Linked DNA regions of Lepisosteus oculatus. The protein of the gene in region 1 interacts with the protein of each later gene in a biochemical or structural test. Links are inferred from orthologs where the notes say so. Each region holds a gene or a part of one and is shown on either strand. Other genes may lie near its edges.

Region 1 (7,860 bases):
GTGGGAGAAGTCCCCCAGGAACGGGCACTGCTGCAGGGACTCGGGGACCACTCTCAGGCTGACGCTGCCCTCCGTCGTGCTGTTGTTGACCCGGCACTCCTTGCTGGCGGGCCGGATGGCCACGACGAGCCGCCGCTTGAAGGTCTCGCTGAGGGCGATGTAGAGGAAGGGGTTGATGCAGCTGTTGGCGTATCCCAGGCTGATGGCGATGTTGTAGGCGTAGACGAAGGCGACAGTGGGCCTCTGCACGCCCAGATGGGCCAGCTGCAGGATGTAGTAGGGAGCCCAGCAGACGAAGAAGGCCAGGCAGATGGCCACCGCCATGCGGGTGACCTTCCGGGTGCGCAGCCGCAGGCTCCTCGGGGGCAGGGGGGCCACGGAGGAAGACATGTGCTGGAGCATCTTGAAGTAGACAGCGCAGATGACGGCCAGGGGGAAGGCGAAAGCCAGCAGGAACTGGGAGAGGGTGAACCAGTAGGCATCCGTGGCGGGGTTGGGCAACAGTAGGGCACAGCCCACAGAGCCGTCACTGAGGGGCATCAGGCCCGCGTACATCCAGACAGGGACGATGGTCAGGAGGGACAGCAGCCACACCAGGCCGATGACCGCCGCCGCCACGCAGGGCGTGCGCACGTAGTTGGACTGGATGGGGTGGACGGTGGCCAGGTACCTGTCCAGGGTCATGGCCGTGAGGATGTAGGTGCTGACGATCTGGCTGTTGGAGTCCAGCGCGGTGATGATGGTGCACATGGCGGCGCCGAAGCACCACGAGCCGTTGCCCAGCAGCTGGTGGATGAGGAAAGGCATCCCCAGCAGGAAGAGCAGGTCCACGATGGACAGGTTGAAGATGAAGATGTCTGGCACCGTTTGCTTGGCTCGGAACTTGGTCTTCTTCACGATGGTGTAGATCACGATGCAGTTCCCGATGATCCCCGAGAAACAGATGACCCCGAAAATGCTGGGCATGATCACATCGGTATAGGGCGCATGGCCCCTTTCCGCAGCTGGGAGGGAGACAGGGAATAACGGGGGTTAACGACGCGCTAAGCACTTCACGGCAGGACCTTGGAGTTACAGAACACTTGCAGAACTGTAACATTTTCCACATCGCTCAAATCGTTGCATTTTGTGGCTCGGCCGTTCAGATTCCCACTTTAGGTGTTGTTGTTTTTTTCAGACTGCATTCTTTAGGACATCAACAAAACAAGTCACGAGATACACCACCTGCGGCATTAAAAATGTAAACACCGGGCTGATTCTAGAAGGACCAGTCCACCCATACAAAACCGGGTAGATAAAACCAGTTGTAAAGACAAAAGGCGGTCGTTCAGTGAAAGAGCCCCCGTGTCTCCCGGGTTGCTAGGTCGAGTCAGAGACATCGATGCAGTTCAGGACTCCCGGTGCTCAATTCACAAGGGAATCGGCTCGGGGAGATTTGCTAAATGCAGCTTCTTCACACGTTCCTGCGATTTCAAAGTGTACGAAACGCATTCGTTTCGTAGAACTGGATTCTAATAACTTTGTAAATCGTGAAACCACATTACTGTAACAGGACAAATTCGTCTTTTTTCCTCTTTCACGCTTTGCTAAAATATTTCACCACATCGCCAAAATTGCTTGTCGAATTAAGCCAGTTCATTCGTCTGCTCACCAATACGTTAAACACTGCTTATATAAACGACCTTCTCTCGGTGGAGACCTTGTCAGTAGTTAGAAGAAATGAAATAATACTTTGTTCCAAGTAAATTGGAGCGCTCTTACCTGTCTGGTTACTGGAAGAATAATTTTTGGAGACGAGTGATGAGTTTACGTAGGTCATGTTTTCAAGAACGAAAGGTGTGTTTCTTTCAAAACCCATCAGTCTCAGAACTGTGATCTAGACACAATAACAACGCGTCAAACCAATGTTGTCAAATAAAAATCAGCTACTTCAAAATGCGAAGATACTTTGATGGAAAATCATATAAAAGTGTGAAAATTCAGCTGATTTTTTACTGTATTGAAAGACTTAGAAGAGCTATAAAATTGAGTCAGTGTCAATATTTTAACCCTTCGTGCCAATTGCTTATTTTCAATTAGATGCTCTTACATATGATTTGCTAGAATCGCTCCTATCGCTCGTATTAATTTCACGTCAGTAGGAAAGAAAGATGAATATTTCTGCTCTTTAAGCCTCCTCACCTACTGTTCGATCTGTTGTGCGCACGCAGATCTCAATCCGCACTGAGATGCTCCGAACTACCGATGTTTTGCTTCTGTTCGTCAGGTATTTCAAACTCGTCAGCCTCTGACGTGTAGCGAACGTGACCGCTCTCTTCACGTCCCGACTCCGTCTAGCGCCTCTCTCCCTGTGACACCCCAGTTCACGTCCAAGAATGCCACGGCTGTGTCTCAATTCTAGTCTGCTCTGATGTCTGTCTTGCTTTTCTTGGGCTGGGCTGCTGTAACGCCTCACTTTCCCGTAATTATGATTAATGAAGTCTTATCTTGAATATAGCGAGGCACTTGAACAAGAAATGTAAAGCTTAAGGTTGCAAATAATGCTTTAGATATAGAAAAAAAAAACAGTAAATGAACCGTCAAAATTACATTGATAAACATTTAAATATAAAGATGGTTTATTATGTACTTAAACATTCCGTTAAGGTTAATAGCAACCCTGTTAAATCTACTTTTAAGATATAAAATGTGTTCATAGAATTTCCAAGCCCTAATCTGAAGTGATAGCAACTAATTGGTGCCAGACTGTTCACGTTCCTCAGTCTAACTATTTATGATCAGAATCAAACACGTTCTAGAAATTTTCAAACTCCTGCTTTCTGCTTATCCGAAGGTGTCAGATTCTCAGCACTAAATGCGGTCGCCGCATCAGCAGGACCGGCGGCGAGTTTTTCCAGCACCACCTGGAAGCAGCGAGTCCTGTCCTGTGTGTCCTTGCCCACAAGGTGGCGCCAGAGGTCAGGGAATAAAATCCCAGTTTCTTCACAGGCTTGGCGCTCACCGGCTGTTTCTCCGTTCGCGAAAGAAGTTGTTGTATAATCGCAGGCGGGGAGCGTATTCAGAATTTGTACAAGACAGGCTCACTGTAGCCTATAAATTAATCATAGTGCATGGTAATTAAAGGGAAATCATGACTTATTTAAGAGTATAGGATTTTAGGAAGAGATCTGGGCAAGGGCAGCCCCACCGCAAGCACATATCATGAGAACGAGGGGAGACCACTCGGCACATCTGTGTGCTGTGCGTGACAGTAGCTAAGGGATCTGAGCCATCCTAGATCAGAGGTCACAAGCTGGATTCCAGGTTAGCCATGGTGTGTTATGCTTTCTCCCCCAACTCGAGCAGTCAATGAGTTGACCCCGCTGTTGTCTACTCGGCCAGCAGCCGTGTCACACTGCCACACTGTCAACTCGCAACTGGCAGCCGCCTGAAGCTCAACAGGTGCCGGGTCAGTACCTGGATGGGAGACCTCCTGGGAAAAACGAAGGGTGCTGCTGGAAGGGGTGTTAGTGGGGCCAATAGGGGGCGCTCACCCTGCGCTCTGTGTGGGGCTAATGCCCCAGTATAGTGACCTTGCAACTTGTAACAACTTGTAAAAAAAAGGCGCCGTCGTTTGTATGAAATGGAAAACCGAGCGCTTCTTGACAGGAGTGATCATGATCTCCTAATAATCCCCATCTATGAACTGGCTCCATCACTCCACGCATTACCTGTAAAGCGCTTTGAGCGGAGAGTCCAGAAAAGCACTCTATAAGTGTAAGGAATTATTATTACCTATTTTTCTTACACATACCTAGTTTTTTTTCTTAATGCCTTGTACAGCCGACTGCCCACACGCATTCACTTCATTAAAAATAAACTCATCTATAAACACCTCGGAAATGGGTTAAAAACGCTACGGCTGTGCAGGTGAGTAAACAATTGAAACCAGCAATTAAGACCGAGCTCCGGGTCTGATAGGTCTCTTTAACCCTCCATCTCATGAAGAAGGAAAGGCGTCAAATTGCCCAGTTAAATCAATACGGATAGCAAATAAGGACTCGGGGTGGAAACAAGTTAGCATTTCCACCCGAGTATCTATAAAAGTCTACTCGGCTGAAGTATTGCTCTGACAGCAATGACAAGGAGCGCGGGAGAGCTGGAATTCGCACTTCCGCAATGAGTCACGACAATGAGGGGAACACCTTTAATAGGGATACGAAGATGAAAAGACAGGCGAGATTGTATTATTGTAATATCGTAATATGCATTTGCTCCTCTATGGACAGCATGTTTACTCCATTGTACTTTTTTGGCAATCAGTGTGTATACACATATTTTATTGTTTTTACAGCGACTATGATCGGCACGTTTTGCACACACCTATGTATTTATTTATTTTGTTTTATAACTATTCTGATGTCTGTTTTGCTTGTCTTGGGCTGGACTGCTGTCACACATCCATTTCCCTACGGGATTAATAAAGTATTATCTATCTATCGAACAATAGTGGAAGGAGACGGTGGAAGGTGGCGCTAAGAAGAGCAGAGGGGTGAGGAATGGAACCAGTTCAGTAAAGGCTTTTCTGAAGAAGAGGGTTTTGATCATAGTGACCAAGGCAGCTTCGGAAGCGAGCATGCCCACCGGCCTGGCGGCTATGCTAATCTGACGCCCACCCCGCAGAGCCCCCAGCAAGGGGTCCGAGGCTCCTCCCCCTCACCCCCCGCCAAGCCCCGCCCCAGTCCCGCACGCCGCGGGCAGGTATCGCGAGATCCGGCTCGAGCCGTGAGGCAGGCAGCGAGCAGGACCGCATCTGGAAGGAAACGGAAATAAATATCGGGATTTTTTTTTTTAACGGGTACAAAAAAAAGAAGAAGAAAGGGGGGGGGGATTCAGAGAAAGGGTTACAAGTTACTATTCCTGTGTAACAAAGTGTGTATTTCCCAACCCCGAGAACGGTCAAGCTGTGTGTTTGAGCTGGATTCACCCGGTTAAAGTTGAAGTGGGGGTGAGTTACTGTTTTTTTTTTCTCTCTCTCGTCTCCTGTTATTTTGGCCTGGTGTTTTTTGAAACAGGAAAGACGCGAAGTGTTGTCTTCAGTTTTTTTTTTTCCGCTCCTGGGGCCTGGGACACAGTCAGCGTCCGAGGGAGGAAACCGAAAACAAGGAGCCCCCTAGAAAGTGGAAGTTTTTTTTTTAAAGAAAATAAATAGATAAGTCGGGGTGGGGGGAGAGACGCTCCTGACAGACGGCGTGCGGAGCAGCTCTCGGCTCGTCAGCGCTTCCCTTCGTCGTACCGACGGAGAGGTTATATATATATTTTTTTTTAAAAAAACCCGAGCGTTTCGCCCAGCGAGTGCGACACTTCGCCCCGATGTCAGCGCGGTCGCCCCGGTGCACAGGCGCCCAGATGTCCCCTCACGGTGCCAGTGCACGGCGAAGTTGGTGTTTGTTTGTTTTCCACCCCTCTTAATCACGAAATCCCAAATCAGGCCGGTGCCATCTAACGCCAGGGCTCCGGTTGTAGTAGTAGTAGTAGTAGTTGTTGTTGTTGGGGTTTTGAGGGCCATTAGCTAGAAGTGATCTTTGACTTGAGTGGTTGGTGTTGGCTGTCGAGTCTGCGAGCTACGGCGCAGGGCACAGCTGTTTATTAACTCCCATCGAGGAACCATCTAGAACAAATCCGGCTGGGAGACTTCCCTGTCGGGACGGAGGGGGCTGTGCTCGGGTCATTCAGCGCGTAAGACCCTTTTAAACTTAAACTCACGAGTATTTATTCTGGACGAGCGATGCTATTCGGTAGCGCAGTGGTTCAGAACGGATGCCTTCATTGGTTTTTCTTTCAACCAACATTTATTTATCGTTGCTGTTGTTTTCAAAAATGTGAATGTAGGCAGATTTCTTATTTATGTCTAGTCGGGATGTTTCGGGGGTATCGCTGGATCGATCTTTCCTGGCGTTATCGATAGTTTTGTCCAAGTTAATCGACACTTTGATTTCGAATTTCAATTGATAAATGTCATGAGTGGGGTAGGCAACAAACGTTTATGGGTGTAACTCGGTTGACGAAGTTACGAAAGGGATTACGAAGTTTGTTGTTCGCGATAAAACGGTAGTCGTGTTAAATAATATTCTTTGGAAGTTGTAAACGGTTGTAAATAAGATCGGGTCAGGTCTCGAGCGTGAAGTTTTAAGAAAACTGGCGATGGTGGGGTTGGATATTGAGTTGTGGAAATATTAATACCTTGTCTGCGACATTGGCTAGGTTTTCTAATTCTACGAAGAAAAAAATTAAGCTTTATTGTCTAGATCGATCAGCAATAAAAAAAGTAAAATGCTATACGAGAATTAAATTGCGCACATGATCAAAATACTGACGTCGCGAAGGAAGGTGGATCGAGACTTCCACGAAAGTTTTCTTAAGATGATGCTTTCCGTATTCTGCGAGACGTCTGCGGTTCAGGGTTTCTGACATTTTAAGAATTTATTATCGGTGGTGGTGGAGGGAATCTCCATTACCTGTAAAGCGCTTTGAGTGGAGTGTCCAGAAAAGCGCTATATAAGTGTAAGCAATTATTATTATTATTATTATTATTATTATAATTCGGAAGCAAACGCACAGTTCCTGTACACAAAGGGTTACTTTTTCTTGCATTCTTGTAAGAGCTGACGAATTATGTTTCCATCCTACATTTTAACGACTGTTTTTTTTCCCTGTTTCTCGGTGTGTGTTTTTAAGTCATAACGGGGAGCATTGACGTTAACGGCAAAACGCGACTGATCCCATGTGTGGCGCTTGTAGCTTTAAAGTGTTACTTTGTGCCATGTAGCAGACGGAGAGATCAATGCAGTGCATGATTGATAAATATGGAAGCGGCCTGTGGCCTATGCGGAGGCCGGATTGGTCACTCCGCGGAAGCTGGGCTGATGTGTGATTGGCGCTGTCAACATTCCTGGCGGCTGATTGGACGAGCCGGAGGACTGGGGCGTCCCATTGGTGGAGAGCGATTACGTCGGCTCTAATTGGACGTTATAAGCTTGCCCCATCCTGATTGGCTGTCGGGACGCAGTGGGGTTGCGGTTGGCTAACTCGCATGTCAGCCAGATGGTTTCCTTCCTCTTTTGCTGAGCGTTTGCCTTTCATTGCAAGTCGGATCTCCAGGGCGCGGCTCGATCAAACACTTTTAAATTAGTCCCTTATTATTATATTTTTGTGCTTTACTGATACTATTTAAATTACGTAGCCTGGGGAGGCTCACTGATGTATCTTTGCCTTTGCAGATACGTGACAGCGACCTTTATGTGAGGAGCTAACCCCGGAGAAACGGGTCGTAGCCGGGAGGAGAGAGACTCGAAGCGAGTGGTCCACGGATTCTGTTATTTTTCTTGCTTTTTTTTATCTCACTTGCCAGCAGAATAAGGGAGTAAAATCTCCACCCTGCTGCATCGACAGACTGTACCTGTACGAAACTATAAAAGCTCACAGGTGTCCCAGCAGAACCCCGGAGAATGGAGGCCGTTGCCAAATACGATTTTAAAGCCACTGCCGACGACGAATTAAGTTTTAAACGTGGAGATGTCCTGAAGGTAATCGTCGATTTTATTCATACCGGAAGGAGCGCTAATCAGATTTTTGTGTTTGAAAGTCCATCACCTCACATAGCGTTTGCTGTTTCATTTGCGTTAACGTGCTGCGCAAAGCATAGTAAAGTACAGTACTCTGCAGCAAGTAAGGGCAGATTTGGGTTATGCTAATTCACTGTTCTTTAGACCATCTCTTCGGCTTTTCTCCTGTTAAATTGACCATTACTCAAGATGACAGCTGTTCTGCAATGAAGGTGAAGTGAAGACTTCTTGTGATTTATCTTTGTGGTTCAGCATA
Region 2 (7,757 bases), on another chromosome or scaffold:
TTTAACAAGTTATTGTACACTTATTTGAGTTGTATTTGATTAAAGCTGACGACTTGGAATAAATTGGCATTTTTCCTTGGTCATAGAAAGGTGGCACTTGAAAGGTGATGTATCAGTTGAAGATATTTGCATAACGTCTTGTGAATCTCTGGCATTAGCAATTAAGCTTGTGAGCAGGTGAAAGAGTAAATCTTAAGTCTACTGAGCTAAGTCTGTATCTGGGCAAAAGTGATTAGAAAATGGCTGAGTCCTACTGATAAGATTTAATACGATTAATGAGTCTGAGATTTTTTGGCTCAGAAGCATATTCAAAAAGCAAGGTTTTTCTTTATGGGTTAATAGTTGGATGTTTGTTTACAGTATTTAAGTAATGTGACAAGTCAGTATATGAAATGGACATACTTGAATCCAGTTATTGAGAGTGTCTCTTCCTCTCATCGGTGAACTGCTCATTGAAATGATAACATTTTGGGGGGTAAAAAACCAAGAAGCATCATTATTAGTAAGGTTTCATGATTTTAAGAGGTGTGAAGATGAGACTTGGCTTCACAGCACAACTGCAGTGAGTGTAACTTCATGGCTGAATTAGGGCTTAAGGGGTAAAATCTGTAATTGGTATTGAATGGGTCACAGTGTACATTATCGGTCAATTTAACTTTTCTTTCACTGTTTAGTATCCTAGATGGCAGGAAAGTGAGTGGCTACCAAAACAGGGCAGAGAAGAAAACTGTGCATATACTGGTAAAATTTTAATTTGAGTCTCAAAGTATGTAGAGGTAATGTGAGGACAGCACTATGGATGTGTCAGTGTTGTTGGCAAGTTTGGGTTGGTAATTACAGGTCTGTCTGACTCTTAAACTGTAAATCATTTGCTTAATGCAGTGTATAAAGAAAATATAAATAACAAGCCAGGAAACTCAGTTTATCTCCTGCTTCAGCAGAATATTTTAGAAATTCAGAGAATGTTTTTATCTGCTGTGGACATTTCCAAGTATTCTGGATTTTCTTGCTTTTTATAGCTTCTAATGAGCAATAAAACAAAAAACTTGAATGTGTCTTACTTTAGGTATTAAAGCAGGTATAATAGTTCTATTGCTTTTTGGACCCTTCTGTTGTATATTGTGAATGCTTATAACAATAAGAACCCTTTTCATCTTTTTTGGGGGGGGTTCTTTATTTTGTATTGGAAATCACAAACGGGTGAAATTTTTCAAACCCTGCTTTGTGTCGTGATGATGATGATGGAAATCCGATCTGCTTTCTGTTCAGTGTTGTAACCTCCCCAGCACCTCTTTCTGGGGCTGTGAGCACTGATATATCAGAGTGAACGGATTAGCCTCTTTAATATGGATACTTTAGCCCGTCAGGGGAGCCAGGATAATGATCCAGTAGTGTGGTTGAGCCTCTTTGTCAAACCGCAGGCTTATAGAGTAATAACATTTCATCTGCAGCAGGAGAAGCCCCAATATTTAGTGTTCAGCTAAAAGCTCTGCTGTTTCCTTTTAGTCCACCACTGTGGGAATGGAGGAGGACTATGAAAGTAGCAAATACAAAAGCTAAGCATAGTATTGTGCATTACAGGTGTTAAGACCATTTTCTGAGATCCAGCTCCTTTTTTTGAAAGTGTGCTCTGACTCCTCAGTGAAGTGAATGCAGGTGAGATGGTTTGTAAAAAAGGGAAAGTGTTGTTCCTCTAGATCAGATGATCTCCATGATCAGGCAGAGTAGATCCTTAGATCATGTGGAGCTTCAGAGACATGCTTGGCACTTTGTTCTCAAATGCAAAACATTCAGTTGTTATTCTTATAATTATTGTCGTTGAATGGTGGCATTTGAATTGCTTAAGATTTTGTGTTTAAGCATTTACAATAAGCAATAAGAAAAGGAAAGGCTGTTCTCCAAGGTTAGAACTGGATGTGTTGCTGCACACAAATGAGTGCTCTCCAGCCTAGTGGAAGGCCCTTAAACTCACAGCGTGCTCTTTCAGAAACAAAACAGGATGTCACAAGCAGCGTGTCAGAGGGCCTGCACATGTTTCTAAATGGGTCCAGCTATTTTTAATGTGGTGTGGCAACAACTTTCCAGCCCACATGGCTGCAGAGAGCTATAAAATGAAGTCATGGTTCTGGAGCTGCAGCTATTTGACTTGTAAGAATTAATGTGGTGTCCCTGGACAGAAACACACCTGACTGCAGCTGGTGGACTCTGAAAGTAGGCCCGTCTCTTAGAAAATAAAAGACACCTGAAACCTGTTTCTCAAAATGTAGGGTTACACAGATTGTAACTGAAAAATATCAAGACTTGCAGTAGCTTATGCATACATGCACTGTCAACTAGAGAAAGAAAGTACCGTGACAGAATCATCTTGGCAAGCAGCAATATCAACTATACAATTAAATAAGCCAAGAGTGAATTTGTCTCCAAGCTGTCTTAACTGCAGGTCAGGACAGGTCTATCTGGTTATTTTATGAGCTAAAAATACAATTTAAAAGCAATACAGTATGACTTTCCATTGTCTGGATCTACTGCTAAGTGTTTGATTCTATTAAACAAATTCACAACAAAGTAAAGCTGCCTCCATCAGGGAAGCAACTGTTGTGTCACAGAAGAGTGTGTTCTTGTGTTACGCCCTGTCAGGCTTGTAGTCATTAAAACGCAGTATTTAATTGTGAGCAGTTGCAGTCGGTGTCAGCACCTGTGGTCCTTTTGCGATAGGTTCCATTTTAAGCAGTGCTGGCACAGAAGTTGGTGACTGGAGCTTGCTTATACAGAGTATAATTACTCTGTACATTTAGAAGCTTGAAAGTATTCTGAGGACCTACTGAGAGCTCTAACATTTACTTCCAGCTCTCAAGCGTGTTCTGGTTTTAACCCTTTATGGTGTAGAAGGTTTGTGAACTCTGAATCTGGGCTTCGGGCCTGCTGGAAGTGCAAAGTCATGTAAAGACGGGACTGTAGAATCGAGGTGAGCACTGAACAGGGTTTATCTCCCCAAGAGCCAGATGTGAATCATACGCCACTAAAAACACTCTGCAAGGTTTTCCTCTACATGGATGAACAAACTGCATTTTTTCGTTTCTCGGCACACACGTGGTTTGTTTTCATTGAATTCTTGGGTTATTGTTTGTGACTGAATCATTATTGTATGAATGCATTTCACTTGTTGTACTAGATTATGTGTATATATATATGTGTATCCCTGAATTTTATGCATCCAATCAACCAATTAACACGCGTTTTATAATTAACAGTTTATTTTGACAATCTAAATAACATTCTGAATATTCATCATGGTACGTTTGATGTGCAGAGAAAATTGAGAACATTTTGCATATTGCAGGAAACATTCCTGCAATATGCAAGCGATTCTTTATTTCTGTCTAAAATCAGTTTTAAGACATAAAGGGTTAACTGGGCAAAGAAAAAAAATATGTATAGTCAATGTGCTAGTTCTTTTTCCATTAAATTTTAATTTCCAAATTAAAAGCCTGGGGTGCCTTCAGCCCCAGACTTGATATTGTGAAGGTTAGGTTTGGTAGTCGGCAGTAAATTACTGTCCCTTGTGAAGTGCTGTTTGTGGGCTCCAACCTGACAGGTACGTGTAGCTCAATTTAGCCTTGCAGTTAATTGCTTGGCATGAGAGTCATTTCTGTGCCAGCCTGCAGAGACGTGCAAGCTGTTCGGGGAAACTCTGCCAGCCTGGCAGCCAACCCCAGCAGCCAGATGGAGCTTCAGTTTAAGGCTAAATTCAGCCAGAGACCCTGAAACTCTGGGGCTCCACAATCTTGCTCCAGGAGCATCTTTCGTCTTCAAGGGGTTTTCTCAGCATCCTGAGTCAGGGTTGCTGTGAGCTGATATTGGAAAATGGAGCTGAGCTGAGCCTCCTCTTCCAGTTCCTGGCTTCTGTGAAAACAGGAACAGCCTGAACCCTGTTAAGATGCTGAGATCATCTTAGATCACTTGTCTTGTGATGCATCTGAGACTGTCAGATGTATGAAATTGTTTTTTATATTTATCCCAATAAACTTTGATTTTATCACAGCATTGTTCTGAGGCTTTGCTACATAATGCGTGAATTACAATTAAATGATACAGCACCATGCAGAGGGGTAGTAGACTTATTGCACATATCACAAGTGACGTTGGGAGTCTTTAAGTAGTGTATTCTTCTGCTTGTGCCTCTCTCCCTAAAAACAACTGCAGAACCCATGAGGGGATTATGACTCTGATGTGCACCTGAGTTTAATTTCATTTAGATGCGCCAGCTGAAAGCTTAAACATGAGAATCCAGATTTTTGGCAGAGAAAGTTAAAACTAGCCAGTCATGTGGCCAGAATCATTCAAAGAGTTTGGTCCATGCAGTGGAGTTAGAGGGCCTTAGTTACAAGTCTTTAAACCCTGTTGTTGTTGTCGGGGCTGCCACAGAAGCATCGGGGTCCTCTCCTCATGTCCAGACATGGGTGTCACAGGCACAAGGCTCAAGGCACAAGGCCCTGCAGGGGTGGGGATGCACTGGTCATTACTGCCTCGTTGGGCTTTTTGCTTTCAGTGCTGGAGATATTTTAGTATCCCAGCAGTGCGATCCATATTTGTGTGCCTGCTCTTTGTTGAAGCGTGATGGAGGGGACAGTTTCTGTTATTTTCAGTCCATTGTGCCTACTTCCTGTGGGTCAGGGGTTACTGGAGCAGGGTGTTGTAGACGGCGATGGAAAGCCGACAGGAAAGTAGCCAGACCGTACAGCGCACAGCAAGCTCCGGAGCCAGACGCAGGCTCCAGCGCGCGTTATCGATCCTCCCTGCAAGCAAACGGCAAAACAAGGTAAAAAAAACTGCCGCACTCTGCATTTTCCCAATTCCTGGGCTGTTTGGCAGGGTTTTCCTTTCCTCCTCTCACTCCTTCACTTCGCCAGTGTTTGAAATTGTTTTCTGGAGTTGTAGAATTTCCTGAAGGGACCTGAGTTTCTCTCGTGGAGAAGCAAAGCACTGTTTAGCACTGTTTTTGCTCAAAAGCTGTTCAGCGTGTTGAAAGTGTACGTTTACACCATGCGGTGATATTTCTGTGACTTGAAAGGTTTTTGGTGTAGCAATGAGCCACAGTGAGGCAGGAAATCTATCGAGAATGTGCCGATCTGCTGTCCTGCAATCTGAACATTCCCTGCAAGCAGCCATTATAGAAACACTGTAGAGAAGAGGCCTCTGGTGTAATGCCCAGTTAATTTCTATGAGACTATACATTTAAATTTATTTGTCGATCATTTCTATATTTTTGTTAAGTGATTTGTCTTGTGAAACTGCTTTTTTATATATATGGTATTTTTTGTCTTTAATTTTTTGTTCTGGAAGATTACTGTGTACAGCTGTTAACTAGTGGGGTTTGAGCAAGGCTACTACTAACTGACATGCGCAGCCAGCCCTTTTCTCTCATAATGCTGATGAAATGTATATAGTATATGGTAGAGTGCAGTAGAGCTTCAGTATAAATGAGCATCTGTATAAAATTAAAAGAATCCAGCAAAACGGACTTGCTGGAAAGATTTTCAAGATGTCATCTATAATTCCTGCAACAGTACTCCAGTAAAACACTGCGAAGGTGTAGAGGTAAAAACATAGAACGCAAAGTATTTTTTGATATTCTTTGAAATACAGCTATTAAAATGTTAACATGCTTTGTATTAATAAATAAAACAGTGCAATGATGTACTGTAAAGGTGATGAATTACGCAATACATGTGATATTTAAAGAACCCAAACCTTTGCACAATGCTTTACAAATTATGTGTAAAACATGTTTGTGGGTGAATGTCTTAATACATTCAGTATATACACGCACTGTATATTATACTTCTTTTTGATGTATAAAAATTGCAAAAAGTAATGTAATAAATAATAATTTTAGTGATCGGAATTATTAAGATGATGCTTCTGGATGCGAGACCTTTTTTCTTTCCATACAGACAGTGTAGCTGGAAAATAACTGGTTTATTATGTTGTGGAGGTGGGCTTGACCAGTTCATCTTTACACTTGTTCCATAGAATCTGCTGAGTGCGTTCTAGCAGCTGACAGCCCCCTTAATAAACAGAATCATCATGCCTAGGGCCAAGGTGGTGTATAAGTTGTCTTAGAGAAGCAAGGCTAGACTGGGATGACTACCGAGCAATTCATAAGAACATTTCTTTTTTCCATTTTTAAAGTGCGACAAGACGTATTTAGCAAAGAAGAAGATGAATTTCCAGCTGTTGTGCAACATGTAATAATTTAATAGTCAGGTAGTTGTAACAGTAGTAGTAGTCAGCTCAAAGTACTTGGCTTCTTTGAAGAAATAGCTGTGTAAGCCTGGATCAGTTAGCACCACAAAATCAAGTGACCTAGATGGGCTGAAGGGCCTCCTCTTGTTTGTAAATGTTCTTATGTGTCATGACTGCAGGAACGAGTCTGTCTGATACTCGATAAAGGCTGTGTCCCGACACCAGCTGGAAAATGATTGAAAGGTGGAATGAAATGGCTACAGCAGTTAAAATAGGTCCAGTCCAGCTATATTACAAGCCATTAGAAACGGTAATCCTAGGTAAACTGGGTCTGCACACCCTTCGGTTTGCTTGCAATATATCGCTGCCTTCTTATCAGCTGTGACCAGGGAGTACAGGTCTCCATTTAAAATCTGCTGTAAGGCTGTTGCTATGCTCTCTCTCCATTAGCAATGTTGGACTGCATTTAGAGGCCTTTTTGAAATTGTCCTGTTCTGAAAAACACAACCTCTGTGTTTACGGTGCTGCAGCCAAAAGTTCTGTGCTGAAGTGTCGTTTGTTTTCTCATGCAGGACTGAGTTTTGCTTTGTCAGGGTTTCTTCCTCTTGTATTTGTAAAAGGGAGAGACCTTTACCATCTACTGTTCAGTAACAAAAGTGGGTTAACATTTTCAAACGGGTTACAGAGATCTATATTTGTATTTGGCTCTAAGAGACCTCTCTCGTAAAAGCAAAGACCTTGAAAGTGTTTAATAACCTGCATAGCCTGTGGAGCAGTCCACAGGTTTTGATTTGAGCTGGTTTGACATCAAAAGTCATCAGATATTTTATGTCCTCCTAGGGCTCTCTCTGCAGCAGAGCTTGTAAGAAGTTATTTGCCGTTTCTTTCTTGTTTGGTTAAGGGTCAGGTTTCAGATCTAAAGTTAGAAATGACAGCCTTCAGAACCAACTGATGTGACAATGGATGGAAAACAGGAAATTTTGTGCCTAGTGTGTGTGTTAGGAACACAGATGACCAGGATGATAAAATCCCGAGAAGTGGAAACTTCCACTGAGTTTGTTTTTTCCTTGTTTTTTTTTTTTTGCTGGGATTTAAAAAAAGACACTGTTTCCTGGAAAACAGAATCTGTGGCCATTTGCTGCGTGTTAGGAGCCCCACTACAGGCAACACTTGTGGCAGTGCTAGGTAACGGAGAAAGTCTGTCAGTCACTGAGGTGCTAGTTCATGCCCACAGCTGAAGGCAAGCTAGGTCTTTGAGTTAATCTTTCAACCCTCATGGTTAATACTTCATCCTTTGTGCGAGTCTACCTCAAGAAGGATTGATGAGAATTAAAGTTAACATGACTTAACGTTTGACTGCTGCTAAAAAAATAACCAAAAAGGTTTTCCTATATTAGAGCCTGAGATTCCCATGGGTCAGTCATTCAGGACTATTGATCTCTAAATGCCAATAAATGATGCAGAATGACCCCCTGACTTAATGCACTTGTCTCCTCCCACCAGAAAGTGAA
Region 3 (7,076 bases), on another chromosome or scaffold:
CATTTCTGAGTCCGCTTCTCATGGTCAATTCTTATCAATTCTGACACTGAATTTCTTCTATTTTCTAACAGGTTCATGACATGTAATCATTAATAGTGGTCTGATCTTTTTCATCAAACACAAGGAACCTCTGTGATTTACATTACAATTCTTATTTGAAATCAAATATACTTTTTTAAAAATAAGATGAAAAGAATATTATTTTATGCTTAGCTTAGTAAATTCCAAATTATTACTGGAGAAAATACATACCTTAACACATCCTCTATTCTGAACCCTTTACTCCTCGCAAGATTAGTGAGAAACTTCCTTCTGCTTGATCCCATTTTCCTTTCCACCAAAAATATTGCCACCTCACTAAATTTCACTTCATATTTACATGAGTTGCGGGACTCTGGAAGTTTTTGTCTTTTCTTTATTGGTGGAAAAATGGGAATGTGAAGCATTTTCGTCAGGAAATGTTAAACTGCAAACTGTTTCTTGTGTTGTGTCCTTTTATTTTGTCTTTGTTGTTCTTACAATTTATTTTTCTTACAGCTAAGAGAACGCCCACTGTGATGTCATTTTCCTTTGTCTTTTATTTTTCTTTTATATTTACAGGCAGTTGAATTAAACTGGCAAGAGTGCCAAACAGGAAGAATATATTATACAAGCCAAGAGTCTCTGATAAATAATGATCTTGCCATCTACTGTTATTTTCAAGAGCAACCCATTTAAAAATCAGAATTCAGTGGAAGAATAGAACGTTGGTTGTACAGGTCACTAGACATTCAAAAGAGAACCTGTAGGCTTTCACATTAAATAAAACAAATTCACCTATCCTGTCTTGAGCTCAACATCCAAATGACAATCCCACAAAAAAAACATGGCATCAGTTTAAGAATCTGTATGTACTTATATATGGAAGCACATTGCTGCCATCAAAGACAGAAAATGAACATGTATCTTGTACTGTAATTCTGAGAAAATTATATCCCATTGTACTTTATTATGTAAAAATTATCTTGTCATTTAGAGATAGTAAATTATCTCATTATAACAAAATACAAATGGTCATTTGTGTGTATAAACAACATATTACATTGTGCAATGACAGCAATTACAAGCTCAGCTGGCACTTTGAGTGTAGTGCTCATAACAATGTCCAATACTGCAGAATGTGCAGGTACAGTACTTACTCTCCATTGGGTTTAGTCATTATGAAAGGTTACAATTTTTAGCTTATGTGAACGAAATCATATTAAGCATGAGGAAACTCAGATGTACCCTTAAACAAGAAAGACTGTACCATGCAAGCAATTCCACTGCTCAAAACAGAAAGTCAGCTAATGATAATGCAGGTATTGTATGGTTGTGCTATCACGTGATTACCACATAAAGTACACAATAATGTACTATCTTGTAATTACGTGATAATTTACTACTGTATATCATAATAATGGCATAGTGTACTATCTTGTAATAATGAGATCATTTTCCCATAATTACAACATACAGTATACTGTACATTATTTTTTTAATGGCATCAATGTGCTTCCATATATATATGACTGTGTAGACTACAAAATTTGCAAAAAGGCTAGTATACACCAGATTTGTACATACTGTGCATCTTTTCATTACTGTAATTCAATCTTCTGTTGTTCAAATTAACAAAGCACATTTTGGTAACAAACAACAAGGCAACAAACACAATATTGCAGTAACCAGATCCTTGTCCATTTTAAGACAGATCATCACTACACTTTTCCAGCAGCCAATCCTGATATTCTGACAAATTGGTTTTGTTTGGATTAGCTAAGTGAATTCTGTAATTATTCTGTAACACACATTTCTGGTGGTATAATATTGTGCACGCTCAAAATAAGAAGTCAAGGCCAAGTCATGAAGATCATTACTTATTGAACAAGTTATTGTCAGCAAAGTAAAAAAAATAATGTCATGGGACACTTATAAACATAGTTAATACTGAAGTGACCATTAATGAAACGGTTAATAACCATACAATTAATCAATTATTGTATTCATGTTCTTTTCATATATTAAGGGTAAATACATGAATACGGAGCTATATACTGTACGTCACGTCATGTAATTTGCTTTATACCATAGAGGGTCGCTGGAAACCGGAGCCTATCCAGCAAGCAACTGTCACGATTGGCATCCCTCCTCTTAAGGGCGCTCCGACCCTTTCGTATTTTAGTTGATTATGTGAACCTGCCTCGTGTTTTGTTTCACTATTTAAGCCAGGCGCTCTCGCTATTCCTGGCTCAGCATCAGCGTTGGGAGATGGCTGCCTGGAAGCCCGCCTACCAGCGGTTTCAGGGGAGACCCGACAGCATAGGCTTCATCACGGTGTCCTGATCATCTGAGTGTGGGGCTCGGAGCACCTGGCCTCGTTATCCTGGTTTTATTCCCTGTCTCTGTTCCGGATTTTAGCTCCTATCTCTCTTTTTCTGTTTTTATTTTTTAAATTTACTACGTAGGATACAATGTGGTTTCACTTCTCAAAGAAAGGCACTCAAATAAGTCATTTCTCTGTCATCTTATGTTAGTTTAGCATTTCTACGAAACAAGTACATTTCCAGTAATATAATTTTAATATACACCCTCATACATACAACCACATGCTAGCCAGAGGTAAGGGTTTGAAATTAAGGTATATCGAATTCAGAAGTTATTAATGGAACTCCGGGCCTAGTTTAGTTCCACTTAAGTAACATACTGTGTGGTTTTGACAGGTGACCAACCAGGGTTTGCACTAATCTTAAGAGACATGTTGCAAGCAAACATCTTATAAGCAAAAGTATATCCATATTCATTACAAGACCAAATTTATTCATTGCATATTTAGTACGGCTGTTACAGAAGTCTGGCATTTGCTTAACATTTGTTTGACAAAAATTGTGAATATGAACCAAAGGGCACAAGTGAAAACTATGTGAAATTGCATTTAAAACTTCTTGACCTAAAATGTTTTGCGAGTGACACCGAGTGCCATTCAGTCATGTTGTTGTTATAGCTATTAATTACCAAATGGGCTAGATGGAGTGAATAGGCTCCTCTCATTCTTAAGTATGTGCATAATTTATCATTTAAACTAAAGCAGAACTAAAAACATTACTGCACAACAAACATGGTGCTTAATCATTTTCTGCATGTTGTTGTTGAACTGAAACTGAAAAGGGTCTACGGATCATATATCTAAGTATAACCATTGTTATGTATAACTTGTCAAAGTACTTTAAAGTCAGCATACAACATTATGTTTTATGATATATTCAGCACAGAATTAACTGAGTCTGGTTATGTTTTCATGCAAATCAGGTAAATAAAAATATGTTTATCCTTGAAATGATGTGCATGCTTTAAATCATATCAGCTTTATTTCAGGGATTTTTTAAATATACAGTTTATAAACAGTACTGAACACTTCAATCAAATAGCATTGCAATATAAGGTTTGGCATTCATTTTAACTGCATAATGTCAGACTCAAATATTTATAGAAGAGTTTCCAGCATTATTGAAAACTACGTGCTGAAAAACACTGTTATGTACCCCCAGTGCATACAAAAATTTCCTGAGTAGTAATAATAGGGCTGTTTAATAAAACACTTTGCACTGAGCAAAGGGGTGTATACAGAGGGATGTATACAAATTGCACTTTATGGTGCTTCATTTGACAACTTTAGTTTGACAAATTATTTTATGGTTCTTTCATAAAACTAAGTGTTTTTATATGTCAGTGGAAATTGAAAACAATATTTCTTACAGACAAAATGTATAAAACTTTAATAACCCTGGACTATGATCTTCTACATCTCACCATATCCTGCAAATTTCAAAAAGAAAAGTATTTCATTGTAAAGAGAGAGGCGGTCCTTTACAAAGACAGTTACCAAACCAGGCTGGGCCTCAAGAAACTTCCTTGTTGAGGTCACTATTAAACAGCTCAATAAACAAGAAACTAGAAGAAGTGCTTTCAACACTTACCATTGCACATTTCACGTGCATTGCCTCATACAAATGGCTTTAAACCTGCCCACAAAAGAGCAGGTTGAATCCTGGCGCCCACATCAATTAGTAGACTTCCTATCAAAGGTAAGTGAGTCCTTATACTGTTTGTCATAGTTTAATGTATGTAGCATATTTTATTTCTGTTGTTCATGTTTTTGCACACTGTGATTTCCATTATTGTTGCATCAGATAAAAATATTTTTGTCTTTTTCCTGTTTTTGTTCTTTAACCTCCTCTTCTAGAACTTCAGTGACATTATTATTTACAACCAAAGAATCAATACCAGCCTACAATAATAGCCTACACCATATGTTTCCAAATCATCTGTCTTCATCTAATATCTTTGAGACATTGGTTTTTAAACACACACTCGTCATTCTCAAAGATTTTGTTTTTCAGAAGTCAAACCCCCAGATATTAATTTTGAAACTGGATTCTGCACACTTCAGCCAGGCAATGCAAGGTTGCACATCACTTTCTCTTTATTTTACCCTTTCCTATACAGAATGGAATGAGAGAATGCTCGCTGACAGTGGAAAAAATGAAGATAGATGGACATTGGTTTTTGGTAGGTTTCAGACTTTTTTTCTGAAATATGGCTTTCTACAAAGGCTAAATATTAAAAGAAACAATATTTTCAAAATGAAACTTCTGGCTCCCAAACAGTATATCTGTCAGGTACAACATAAAAAGGAAATCTGTGGCAAAATGTTCAAATTTAAATTCATAATTTCATATTTTAGTCATATTTTGTGTTAATGTTTGTCTTCACAAGCAGTTTTCAGATATGCAGATTTATAAAACTACAACTAAATGTGGTTTATGTGGGTAAATAAGTCTCATTAAGGATTAAATTAACTCTTTACTAAATAGCATTTTGTGAGTTTCTGTTACATTTGCTAAATGGGAAAAATTATCATTATGTAATGCTAAACTAAATGCTAAACTAAAGTTTTAAATACTCTGAAAAAAGAAAGATCATATTCTGCCGTCTGAATTTAGCAGAAGGTAATTATGTTTAGAATCTAGTTGTGGATTATACGGTATTACTCTAACCACATGCTATATGATATGTAGGGCAGTATCACCGTGCTAGGGTGTAAGAGTAACACTATTGTATTGCGGATGGACCTACTTTTGGAAATGTGTGCCATGAATCTTGCTTCTGATTTTACTACATTAACTTAAATAAGTGGAAACTGGAGCTAGCTGCATGATTTCTTCCAAAGAATAATTTTAATGGGCAGAATTCCAGGCTTGAATAATTTTACAAGAGAAGGAATGAAGCAGGCTGTCAGGAAGCTGTCATAGATGTGGAGTTTCTCAAATTAAATGGAAACACTGTGATAAATCTTCCCACATTTTTTAAATAAACCTAACATCACAGAATGCAGTATATCAATTTGATTAGATTGAACTAAAGTATTTTGATATAAATGGGACTTTCTATTGCCTAAAAAACAGATATAGCAGCAGCACACTGTGAAAACATGATGTGAAATCTGTTACTTGCTTAACCATTCTGAAGACGGAAGGCTGTTTGTGAAATGAAAGACATATGTCTCAGCTTTCTCAACTTTAGTTTAGCTTTCTTTCACATCACGGCTGGCTCTCAAAGTGCTATGTTTGCTCAGAAGGAAAACTGAGAGTACGATTTTTTTTTGACGTTTTGATTAGTGGAATTAGGATCCACTAATTAGGATCAAAATTTATAGGACAAATTCACCATGTTACCTGTCTCCTACAATAACCACACCTGAGTTGCCAGCCTGCTTAATTGGTTGACACGTCTTCATGGTTGGAATTTCATGGCTATGATCTTGAATAAAAGTGTCATTGTAGCACACTTCTTTGATTAGTTTTTGGCTTGTTTCCAGTGAAAAGGTGTGAAATAATTTACCCAAAACCAAAATCAAGAGCATTCATATTCTGTGTTAGGATAAGTCATTGTAGAATGTTGAAAAAAAAAAACCCTATCGGGTAATAAATATTGTTTTGCACAAAAATACTTTGTCCGTTTGGGGGTTCCCATAACCCACCTGTCTATTCAAAACAAGTCATAGCGATAAAATTTCAAACAGTTGATCTCATTTTTTTTTCAAGATGTTACCTTGGTATTGTTTAACAATCCAAACTAAGACCACGCTGGATTTAAAAAAAAAAAAACATTGTGTGTAATAAATCTTTAAAGAATCTGCCTAACATCTCCAGTAAGAGTTGACCTGTGTTATTCAAAATCAATACAGTTATTTGATATTACAGTCATTAAAAGCTGCATATAGCCATTATGTGTCTGCATAAGCTAGGTTCATCTTAATCACTGTGCATGCTGAAGAAGAATGTTTTCAGCATTTTACCATTTCATCTCCCCATCTCCAAATCTGCATATCATGTATATGCCTGGTGTGTTTAAAAGAAAAAGAGAACTGTCATGGTTTGTGAGGCATTTGTCTGTGGATGCACAAGGAAGATGGTGCTAATTGTGTCTCTTACTATGTTCATTTAATATTGAATTTTACCACAAGAAGCAATTACGCTGTTCAGCTTTGTCACATGCTACAATGTCTCACAGCACTGTACCCTCATCCTTGAAATCAAAAAACATCTTGATTACAAAAATTACTTATTTGGAGGTTATCCCACGTTGCACAAATGTAGCTGCAAAGGTGTTGAAAATGAGCACAAAATTGTCTTTAACAAGCACCACTCTACCCTGGGCATATAAAAGCAGTAGACTGGGTTGTTATGGCAGTTGCAGCTTTCACTCTAATGATTTCTGATCTTATGTAATGGTGTAGCTAAACACTGATACAGTATGTGAGGTGTCTGGAAACTTTTATTCAAACAGATTCAAACTTAGGAATCTAAATTCTAGTCAGGAATGAAGCCCAGTGCTGGAACATCTCAGAGTTTTATTTGTATTACAGTATCTCTTCTTATATAGCCTAAAGTTCTATTGCTGCATTAAGTTTAAATATGTTTGTCACTGTCACCTGTTATTTTAGGGGAGAGGTCACTGAGCAATTTCTGTCAGTTTAACAGAAGCTGGAATGAAAC
Region 4 (7,916 bases), on another chromosome or scaffold:
CCGCACGTGCCTGAAGTGCTGATAAAAATTAACACTTAAACTGATTTATAAACATACTGACTGAACCCTAGAGACACAGCAAGCTTGTGAAAAAAAAAGGGGAGTTATTTACTGCACAGAGACACCAATTTCAATGTAAGGGGTCCATCAGATAAAGAGCAGTAATACAAACTGTGGTTTGCCACACAGGGAGCATGTGGAGGAAACGTAGCACAAAAGCCTGCTATTAGTTTCAATCTATTTCTGACAGCTATCCCACCACACAGCACCAGACTAAATGAGAATGCTGGACTTGATTGTTCTACAAGCTATATCAAATGCCACACTGATCTGCAAAAACAGGCTTTAAGCTTCGCTCTCAAGTGGAGCTGTGAAGTTCAGGATTAGGTAGAATAAATCGGAGAAAAATCCTGAGTAAGAAGATATACATTTGTGTACAATTCTGCTCCCTTTCAGAGCTCTCAGCTGAGACTCATTACTACACAGCCAGGAGTGTCCTGGTAAGAGGTTCTACAGCTCAGTGGGGCGGAGGACACAGGCGAATGGAAGTCAGGACGAAAGCATGTCTTTTTTAACTTGGTGATTACTTTGTGATTTCTCCTGATGTCCTGTAGATTCAACACTGCTGTGACTACACTCCTTACAAAGCTCTTTACAGTTCCAGCCTAAAGGATCGAGTAATCTTAACAAGCACCTTTGTTTCCCAGTTTTTAATAAGGCTGATCTGCTTGAGGAGATTGGGCCAGTGATCACTTTTCTGACGAGAAACAGACTCCTCTAGAAAAGAACATTCTGCTGGACTTAGGTGACTTCACACTACCCACACACTGCATCTGTTTTTCCATTCTTTAAGATGGTTGGGAAGGATGATTTAAACATCCTTCTCAGAACTCTAGACAACGCAAGGGAAATGGCTGATGCACCAAACCAGTGTTTCACTCAGGAGTTCACAAAGAAAGAAGTCAGCAACATGCCCCAGGCAGGAGCAGGAAAAAAGTACTGTATTAAATATTATTACCATAGAAGAGGCAGGAGGATTTGGGGAAGTAGAACCAATCAAGATTAATGCATCCCCAGGGACAGATGGTATCTTACCAACTGTATCCAAGGAAACAAGAGATATGATTCAGAAGCCACTGGCACAACTGTTCCAACAGTCACCAGACAGGTGTAGCACCCAGGGACTGGAGAGTTAATCATGTAGTACCCTTCCATAAAAAAGGCGAGAAAACTGAAGCTCGTAATAACAGAAGAGCAACACCAATGTCTATTACATGTAAAGTAAAGGAAACAATTATCACAACTGAACTAGAGGATCACACTGTATGTAAGGAAATAATATCCCAGGAAATAGTTAGCATTAGTTTAGAAAAGGAAGGTCTCGCCCGATCAATTTGTTAGATACAAGAACAAGAAACAGCAGCAATGGACTCACACAGACCATACAATATTCACTTCAGAGATCTGTACTAGGACCACTGCTCAGCCGAATTTATACCAACTGTCTACATTCTACTATAGTTCGCAAACTAGACCAGAATGCAGACAACACCATTTTCATTGTAGACACAAGTGAAATTCACAAAGATTTAGATCAAATTCAGGACTGAGAAATCTGCTGCCAGATGATATGTAATGTACACAAGTTCAGGGTTCTGTATGCAAATTGTAAAAACAGAAATACAAAAAGGATACACTACAACACATTGAGACAGAAGAAACTACTTATGAAGAAGACCCTGTTTATATTGACACCATCTTCTAGCCCATATGGGGAAGCAGTAAAAAAGGCAAACAGAGTTAGTATATTTATGTAAAATCTTAGAGTTCCCATCAAGGGATGTTGTGTCAAAACTGTACAGCGCATTTGTTAGGATTCATTTAGAAAACCATGTACAATTCTGGTTACCAGAACACATACACTCAATGATACGATGAGACAGACAGCCTGTCAGACCCACACAGACAGGATGAAGAACTGAATCCATACACGCTTCCCAAATCTTCCAAGACACTGATACAGTCAACCCACTGGACTTCTTCAGAATCAATAGTGAAACGCCAACTAGAGGACATCCGTGGTATTTAACACTGAGAACAGGAGGAACTTCTTTAAACGAAGGGAGCTGGGAGTGTGGCACAATCTACCCACCCACGTGATTAAAGCTTATACCTGGGTTTCTATCAATAAACACCTGGATGAGACCCTGAAGAACTCTGTACAAAAAGGGAGGTAGGAGTGTGGAACGAACTTCCCACCCATATTACTGAAGCTGACACCCTGCACCAATTTCAAGAAACAGCTGGATGTGATCTTTAGATCGATTATTCCTTGCAGAAGTATTCAGATCCTTTTTTATCTCTCCTTTTGCCAGCTTCTTCATCTAATTCAGGGTTGTCGAGGAACCGGAGGCTATCCCTGCAAGCAACAGGCAAAAGGAAGGTACACACTGGACAGGACGCCAGTCCATCGCAGGGTACACACAGACACAAACACACTCACACCACGGCCTGTTTTCCATGAACCCAATTAACCTACCAGCATGTCTTTGGAATATGGGAGAGCACCTGAAGGAAACCCCACAGAAACACAGGAATAACATACAAACTCCACACAGATAGCACCTCAGGTCTGGGATTGAACTCAGGACCTCAGCTGTGCAAGACAGCAATGCTAAACACTGCACCACCTTCCTTCAGACTTTACAGACTTTACAACGTGTCCAATGTTCTGAAATTGCAAAATACAGTAATGCAGACATTTTTTTTTAATTGACGAAGTGTAAACTACACATTAAGATAAGTTATAATAAATCTCAGCAAAAACTAAAAAGAACAAAACACGACTGGTTAATTTCTCAAGCATTCAGATATATGCACTCAATACTTTCCAGAGTTTTTTTTACACATTATTTGGATACCTCAGACACTGTTTAGGAACATGTTGGCCCTGTGTCTGTGTGAGAGCGAGGGACACAGAGGGACAGAGACACCGTGGCCCGAGTGATCAAACTGTACTCACAGGTATCTGCTGTGTTTTTTAGGAACACATTTGCAGTGTGGTGAGGATCTGTCTTTCCGGCTTCCACAAACGCAAATCCAAACTTAAAGACTGTGAAGAGGGAAATAAAACACAAAAATAAGTGTTTGAGGAAAAGATATCGTAGGGCTGCCCTGATCCTGGAAGGCAGGTGTAAGTCTAAGTCTCCCCAAGAGCAGCAGCAGTTAAGACTTGTCATGTTAAACCCATTTGCAGCCTGACTTTAGTCAGGAATAGATGATTGGGAATAATGTCCAGACGCTGCAGCCCTCCCGGACTATACTGAAATATATCCTTACATCGCTATAAAGTACGAAACTCTTAATGTCGTTTTGTTTTACCGATCGTTTTAGTACAATATCAGTACTAAAATACGAGATAGTTACAGACCCAACACTAGTAAAACCAGCAATCTTCTACCATTAATCTAATAATTAGGGCTAATTACTCCATGCTAAGTCATTTTTTAGGAGCTGTTCGAAAAACAGGTACAGCATTTATCGTGGGTAAGTTGCAGTTAAGCTCTTTGATTTGAAATACGCGCACTTTATCTGACTGAACATGAAGCGCTACTTGGACAAGTATTTAAAAAAAGATTCCGTTAGAGAACAATGCGGGACACGCAGTCGCGGTAACCCAGCCTTTTTAACAAAGAAATGCTAAAAATGTCCTCTGGGTTACCGGTCTCCAAGACCTTCAACCGCACCTCTCCGGCTGAAGAAGCTGGGACAGGTTTCATACTTTATCATTTTCAATAAAACATTGGCCAACTGGCGTCTGGTGGGAAAGGTTCTCCCAGTAGCTACTCCACTTACACAGCACCCACACGCCGCACAGCACGGTGAACACGTCATTGACCGACTCCAGATCCACGGCGCCCATTTTCTACCAGCACACTCGTACGCGGGCGGTGACCTGAAATTAATTAATTGTGTGAATGAGTCGCCTCTCTGCGGCTACGCGCCACATCAGCGCTAACATCCGTCCGTCAACCGCCCCTGCCGCTCGAGGCCGCTAACGGCCGCACTTCCGCCGGCCGTCCACGCGCGAAGTCCATCGAGGTAAGAGTCACGACGTCGACAATTCGTTTCAAAGTAAAATGTATTATAGTTTTTTATTTTAAAAAAAAACTTTAAATGCCTGATGGCGAGCCTACATAATACAAATACAATCACGCTCCCATTTCTTGAATTTCATTTTCTACAAAAATGGACATCCAAAAACATCCAAAAAGCAACAGGAACTACAGTCAAGTTACAGACAGGTGCGAGAAAACGTTTTCCGTCTAGAGAACAGAGACGAATTATGGGAATGTCAACATGAATTCAACTCTGGCCGTCTCACAGAGATGGAAACCAGAAGAAACATAGAAAACAGACAAACTATTGAAGTCAGTTTGTTTACAAATTCCAAAAAACAAGATACTTCTTTTACAACTGTTAAATTCTCGTAGTTTATCTCATATGAAAAGGCAATGGCTACTGATCGCCGTGCATGAACGCCGAAGCAATGTCCATATGTGCTGTTAGAGTCCGCAGAGGAGAGGGCCAGCGGCCCAGACCAGACCGCCTGTAGGGGGCAGGGTGGCTGACTGGACTCACAGGCCGTTCTCAGTGCCGCGACACAAACAAGCAATGAGAGTAACAGCTGTCTCAGTCTGTCCTCCCCACTCTGGTCTTGTACAGTTTCTCTCTCCTCCCCTGATCTGTGTGTCGTGGGGCTGCAGGAGGACTGAACCCCACTCTGGTCTTGTACAGTTTCTCTCTCCTCCCCTGATCTGTGTGTCGTGGGGCTGCAGGAGGACTGAACCCCACTCTGGTCTTGTACAGTTTCTCTCTCCTCCCCTGATCTGTGTGCCGTGGGGCTGCAGGAGGACTGAACCCCACTCTGGTCTTGTACAGTTTCACTCTGCTCCCCTGATCTGTGTGCCGTGGGGCTGCAGGTGCAGAACAGTGTCACCCAGGTGGTTCTGCAGTTCTGTGGTGTTGAAGTGGGTTCCCTCCTGTGTGTGGAGCTCTATACAGTACATGCGAGGGAGCCTTTTCACGAATAGTTTTTTTTCATTGTTTTTTTTTTTTTTAGTCTTAGCAATATCGGCGTCACAGCAGCACATGGAGGAAGTGCAGCCACCAGTTTCTGAGAAGAGCCGAGGGCTACAGCCCTGGTGCAGCACAGGGGGACGGGGCAGTTCCTCCTGCAGTCTTGCCCACTGTGTTGCGTCAGGCAGCCATGTGCACCATATAGTCCTCCCTGACGGTCTGAGGGGTCCTACACAGGCTCAGAGACTGTGCTCAGAGACGGGGCCTGTGGTCCAGTGGGCTCCTTAACGAGGGCTGGGTTTTTATTAACAACCCCCCCCCACGCAGCACCACTCGCTTGTCGGCCGGAGGATTTTTCAAGAAACTCAGGAGGAAGTAGTGAATGACGCCATTTGTGTTTCTTCGAAAAGCCTCGCTTTCGTGCCGTCCGCGTCGTCTCAGTCTGTGCAGCAAGAAGGGGCTGTTTTCTCCCCCCCCCCCCCACCAGACCCCCCCATCCGAGGTTGACAGCCCTGGTTTCGCAAGAGGAAGATGTCAGCATTCGTTCAGTCTTGAGCGCTTCCTTCCTGTCTCTCTCTCTCTCACTCCCTCGGTGTGAGCTGTTTGGTGCGGGCTCGTTCTGCTGCACAGTGCGTGCAGGCCATCTCTCTCTCTCTCGCTCTCTCTCTCGTCGGGCACCTCACTTCCTCCGCAGCGCGGCGACGCCAGAGCTCAGGGCGTAGCAGCGAAGCCGCGGGAGCCATTTTCTTGGGGCCCTCTCCATCCAGCATGCCGAGCAGGAGGTAACCGGGCAGGAGGACGCGGTCGGCCCAGGCTCGCTCGTTGCCCGTTTTTCGGCTTCTCCTTCTTCTTCTTCTTCAAGGGACTCGGATTCGGAGCGGAATATCTCGCTACGTGAGGGGAGCAACATGAGTTTCGACCAGCTCCCTAGCCGGACTGAAGTCCTGGGCTGGAACGCCAACAAGCTGGCAGAGTACCTCAAGTCGGTGAGTGCGTCAGGCCCGACCCCGGCGCTCTCGGGTTTGGTGCGGGCTGTCCGGGGCTTCGGCACGCGAGACCGGGCCCGTGGCCCTCGGCTCTCGCGCTCAGCCCAGCTCCTGGGCCTGGGGGAGTCAGTGTCTCTGCGCTTGGTTTTTTCGTGGGAGAGGACGATGATCCAGATCGCTCCCTTTCTGGGGCAAACCCGCCTCTTGTGGTCAGCTGCTCCGTCCACTTGGGTTGTGTTGTCGTTATGGAAGCCTTGTCTCCAGTGAGTTAGCGTCGCCCGTAGTGTGCTAGCAGCGTCGTCTCCAGTGTGCTAGCAGCGTCGTCTCCAGTGTGTTAGCTTCGTCTCCAGTGTGTTAGCGTCGTCTCCAGTGAGTTAGCAGCGTCGTCTCCAGTGAGTTAGCGTCGTCTCCAGTGTGTTGGCGTTGTCTCCAGTGAGTTTGTGATGTCTACTGTGAGTTAGCGTTGTCTGCAGTGAGTTAACTACACCATGTTAGCGTTGTCGACTGCATTAGCATTGTGTACAGTGAATTAATGTTGTCTCCAGTGAGCTGGCATTGTCTACAATGTGTTAGTGTTGTCTGCTACCTTAGTTTTGTCTGCAGTGTGTTAGCGTTGTCTACAATGTGTTAGTGTTGTCTACTGCCTTAGCGTTGTCTACAGTGAGTTTGCGTTGTCTACAATGTGTTAGCATTGCCTACAGTATGTTAGTATTGCCAACAATGAGTTCACATTTCCCACAGCAAGTAGGCATTGTCTCTAGTGTGTTAGCATTATTTGCAGTTTGTGAGCGTTGTCTTCAGTGAGTCAGCATTATCTTCTGAGTCAGCATAGCCTTCAGTAAATCAGAGGTGTGTTAGCGTCGCATGCAGTGTGTTAACATCACTCACACTGTATTAGCCTTGCCCACAACAATTTTGTGTTGCCAACAGCGAATTAGCATTGTCTGCGATGAGTTAGCGTTACCTGCACTGTGTTAGTATCACCTGTCAGTGAGTTAGCATTGCGTACAGTGAATTAAGCATTGTCTACAGTGTGTTGGTGTTGTCTACAGTGAGTTCGCGTTGTTTACAGTGAGTTAATGCTGTCTGCAGTAAATCGTCATTGTCTCCAGTGTGTTGGCGTTGTCTCCAGTGAGTTTGTGATGTCTACTGTGAGTTAGCGTTGTCTGCAGTGAGTTAACTACACCATGTTAGCGTTGTCGACTGCATTAGCATTGTGTACAGTGAATTAATGTTGTCTCCAGTGAGCTGGCATTGTCTACAATGTGTTAGTGTTGCTTGCTACCTTAGCATTGTCTACAATGTGTTAGTGTTGCTTGCTACCTTAGCATTGTCTGCTGCATGCTAGCTTTGTGTGCAGTGAGTTAGCGTTGTCTACAATGTGTTAGCATTGCCTACAGTATGTTAGTATTGCCCACAATGAGTTAGTATTTCCCACAGCAAGTAGGCATTGTCTGCAGTGTGTTAGCATTATCTGCAGTTTGTGAGCATAGCCTTCAGTGATTCAGAGGTGTGTTAGTGTTGTCTGCAGTGTGTTAACATCACTCACACTGTATTAGCCTTGCCCACTGCAAATTTGTGTTGCCTACGAGTTAGCGTTGTCTGCGATGGGTTAGTATCACCCGTCACTGAATTCGTATCACCCATCAGTAAATTATCATTGCCTACAGTGAGTAAGCATTGCGTACAGTGAATTAAGCGTTGTTTACAGTGAGTTCATGTTGTCTGCAGTAAATTGGCATTGTCTCCAGTGTGTTGGCATTGTCTCCAGTGAGTTAGCTTTGTCAAAAGTGTTGACGTTGTCTCCAGTGTGTTGGCGTTGTCTCCAATGTGTTAGCGTTGTCTACCCTG

Evidence for each region. The genes of interacting proteins can lie anywhere in the genome.
Region 2: the proteins of grb2a (region 1) and gab1 form a complex in vitro, tested with the Homo sapiens proteins (5 studies listed by BioGRID and IntAct, with this or other methods). The link is inferred for Lepisosteus oculatus from reciprocal best matches to the Homo sapiens genes GRB2 and GAB1.
Region 3: the proteins of grb2a (region 1) and blnk form a complex in vitro, tested with the Homo sapiens proteins (3 studies listed by BioGRID and IntAct, with this or other methods). The link is inferred for Lepisosteus oculatus from reciprocal best matches to the Homo sapiens genes GRB2 and BLNK.
Region 4: the proteins of grb2a (region 1) and lcp2a form a complex in vitro, tested with the Homo sapiens proteins (4 studies listed by BioGRID and IntAct, with this or other methods). The link is inferred for Lepisosteus oculatus from reciprocal best matches to the Homo sapiens genes GRB2 and LCP2.

What each region holds. Positions count from the first base shown.
Region 1 is NC_090704.1:44,337,107-44,344,966, forward strand, and holds the start of grb2a (growth factor receptor-bound protein 2a), read left to right. Parts: upstream 1-4,764; 5' UTR 4,765-4,987; intron 4,988-5,224; exon of another isoform or gene 5,225-5,285; intron 5,286-7,087; exon of another isoform or gene 7,088-7,259; 5' UTR 7,260-7,487; coding exon 7,488-7,565; intron 7,566-7,860. Other genes in the region: mchr1a (melanin-concentrating hormone receptor 1), read right to left, coding at 1-1,004, 1,762-1,858. UniProt on the Homo sapiens protein: Non-enzymatic adapter protein that plays a pivotal role in precisely regulated signaling cascades from cell surface receptors to cellular responses, including signaling transduction and gene expression.
Region 2 is NC_090696.1:27,606,133-27,613,889, reverse strand, and holds the start of gab1 (GRB2-associated-binding protein 1), read left to right. Parts: upstream 1-4,690; 5' UTR 4,691-4,705; coding exon 4,706-4,819; intron 4,820-7,757. UniProt on the Homo sapiens protein: Adapter protein that plays a role in intracellular signaling cascades triggered by activated receptor-type kinases. Plays a role in FGFR1 signaling. Probably involved in signaling by the epidermal growth factor receptor (EGFR) and the insulin receptor (INSR).
Region 3 is NC_090699.1:24,014,776-24,021,851, reverse strand, and holds the start of blnk (B-cell linker protein), read left to right. Parts: upstream 1-4,009; 5' UTR 4,010-4,028; coding exon 4,029-4,103; intron 4,104-4,524; coding exon 4,525-4,587; intron 4,588-7,076. UniProt on the Homo sapiens protein: Functions as a central linker protein, downstream of the B-cell receptor (BCR), bridging the SYK kinase to a multitude of signaling pathways and regulating biological outcomes of B-cell function and development.
Region 4 is NC_090706.1:29,680,426-29,688,341, reverse strand, and holds the start of lcp2a (lymphocyte cytosolic protein 2a), read left to right. Parts: upstream 1-4,849; 5' UTR 4,850-5,987; coding exon 5,988-6,065; intron 6,066-7,916. Other genes in the region: putative ammonium transporter 1, read right to left, coding at 3,023-3,112, 3,856-3,922. UniProt on the Homo sapiens protein: Adapter protein primarily involved in signaling pathways within T-cells, as well as other immune cells such as platelets, mast cells, and natural killer (NK) cells.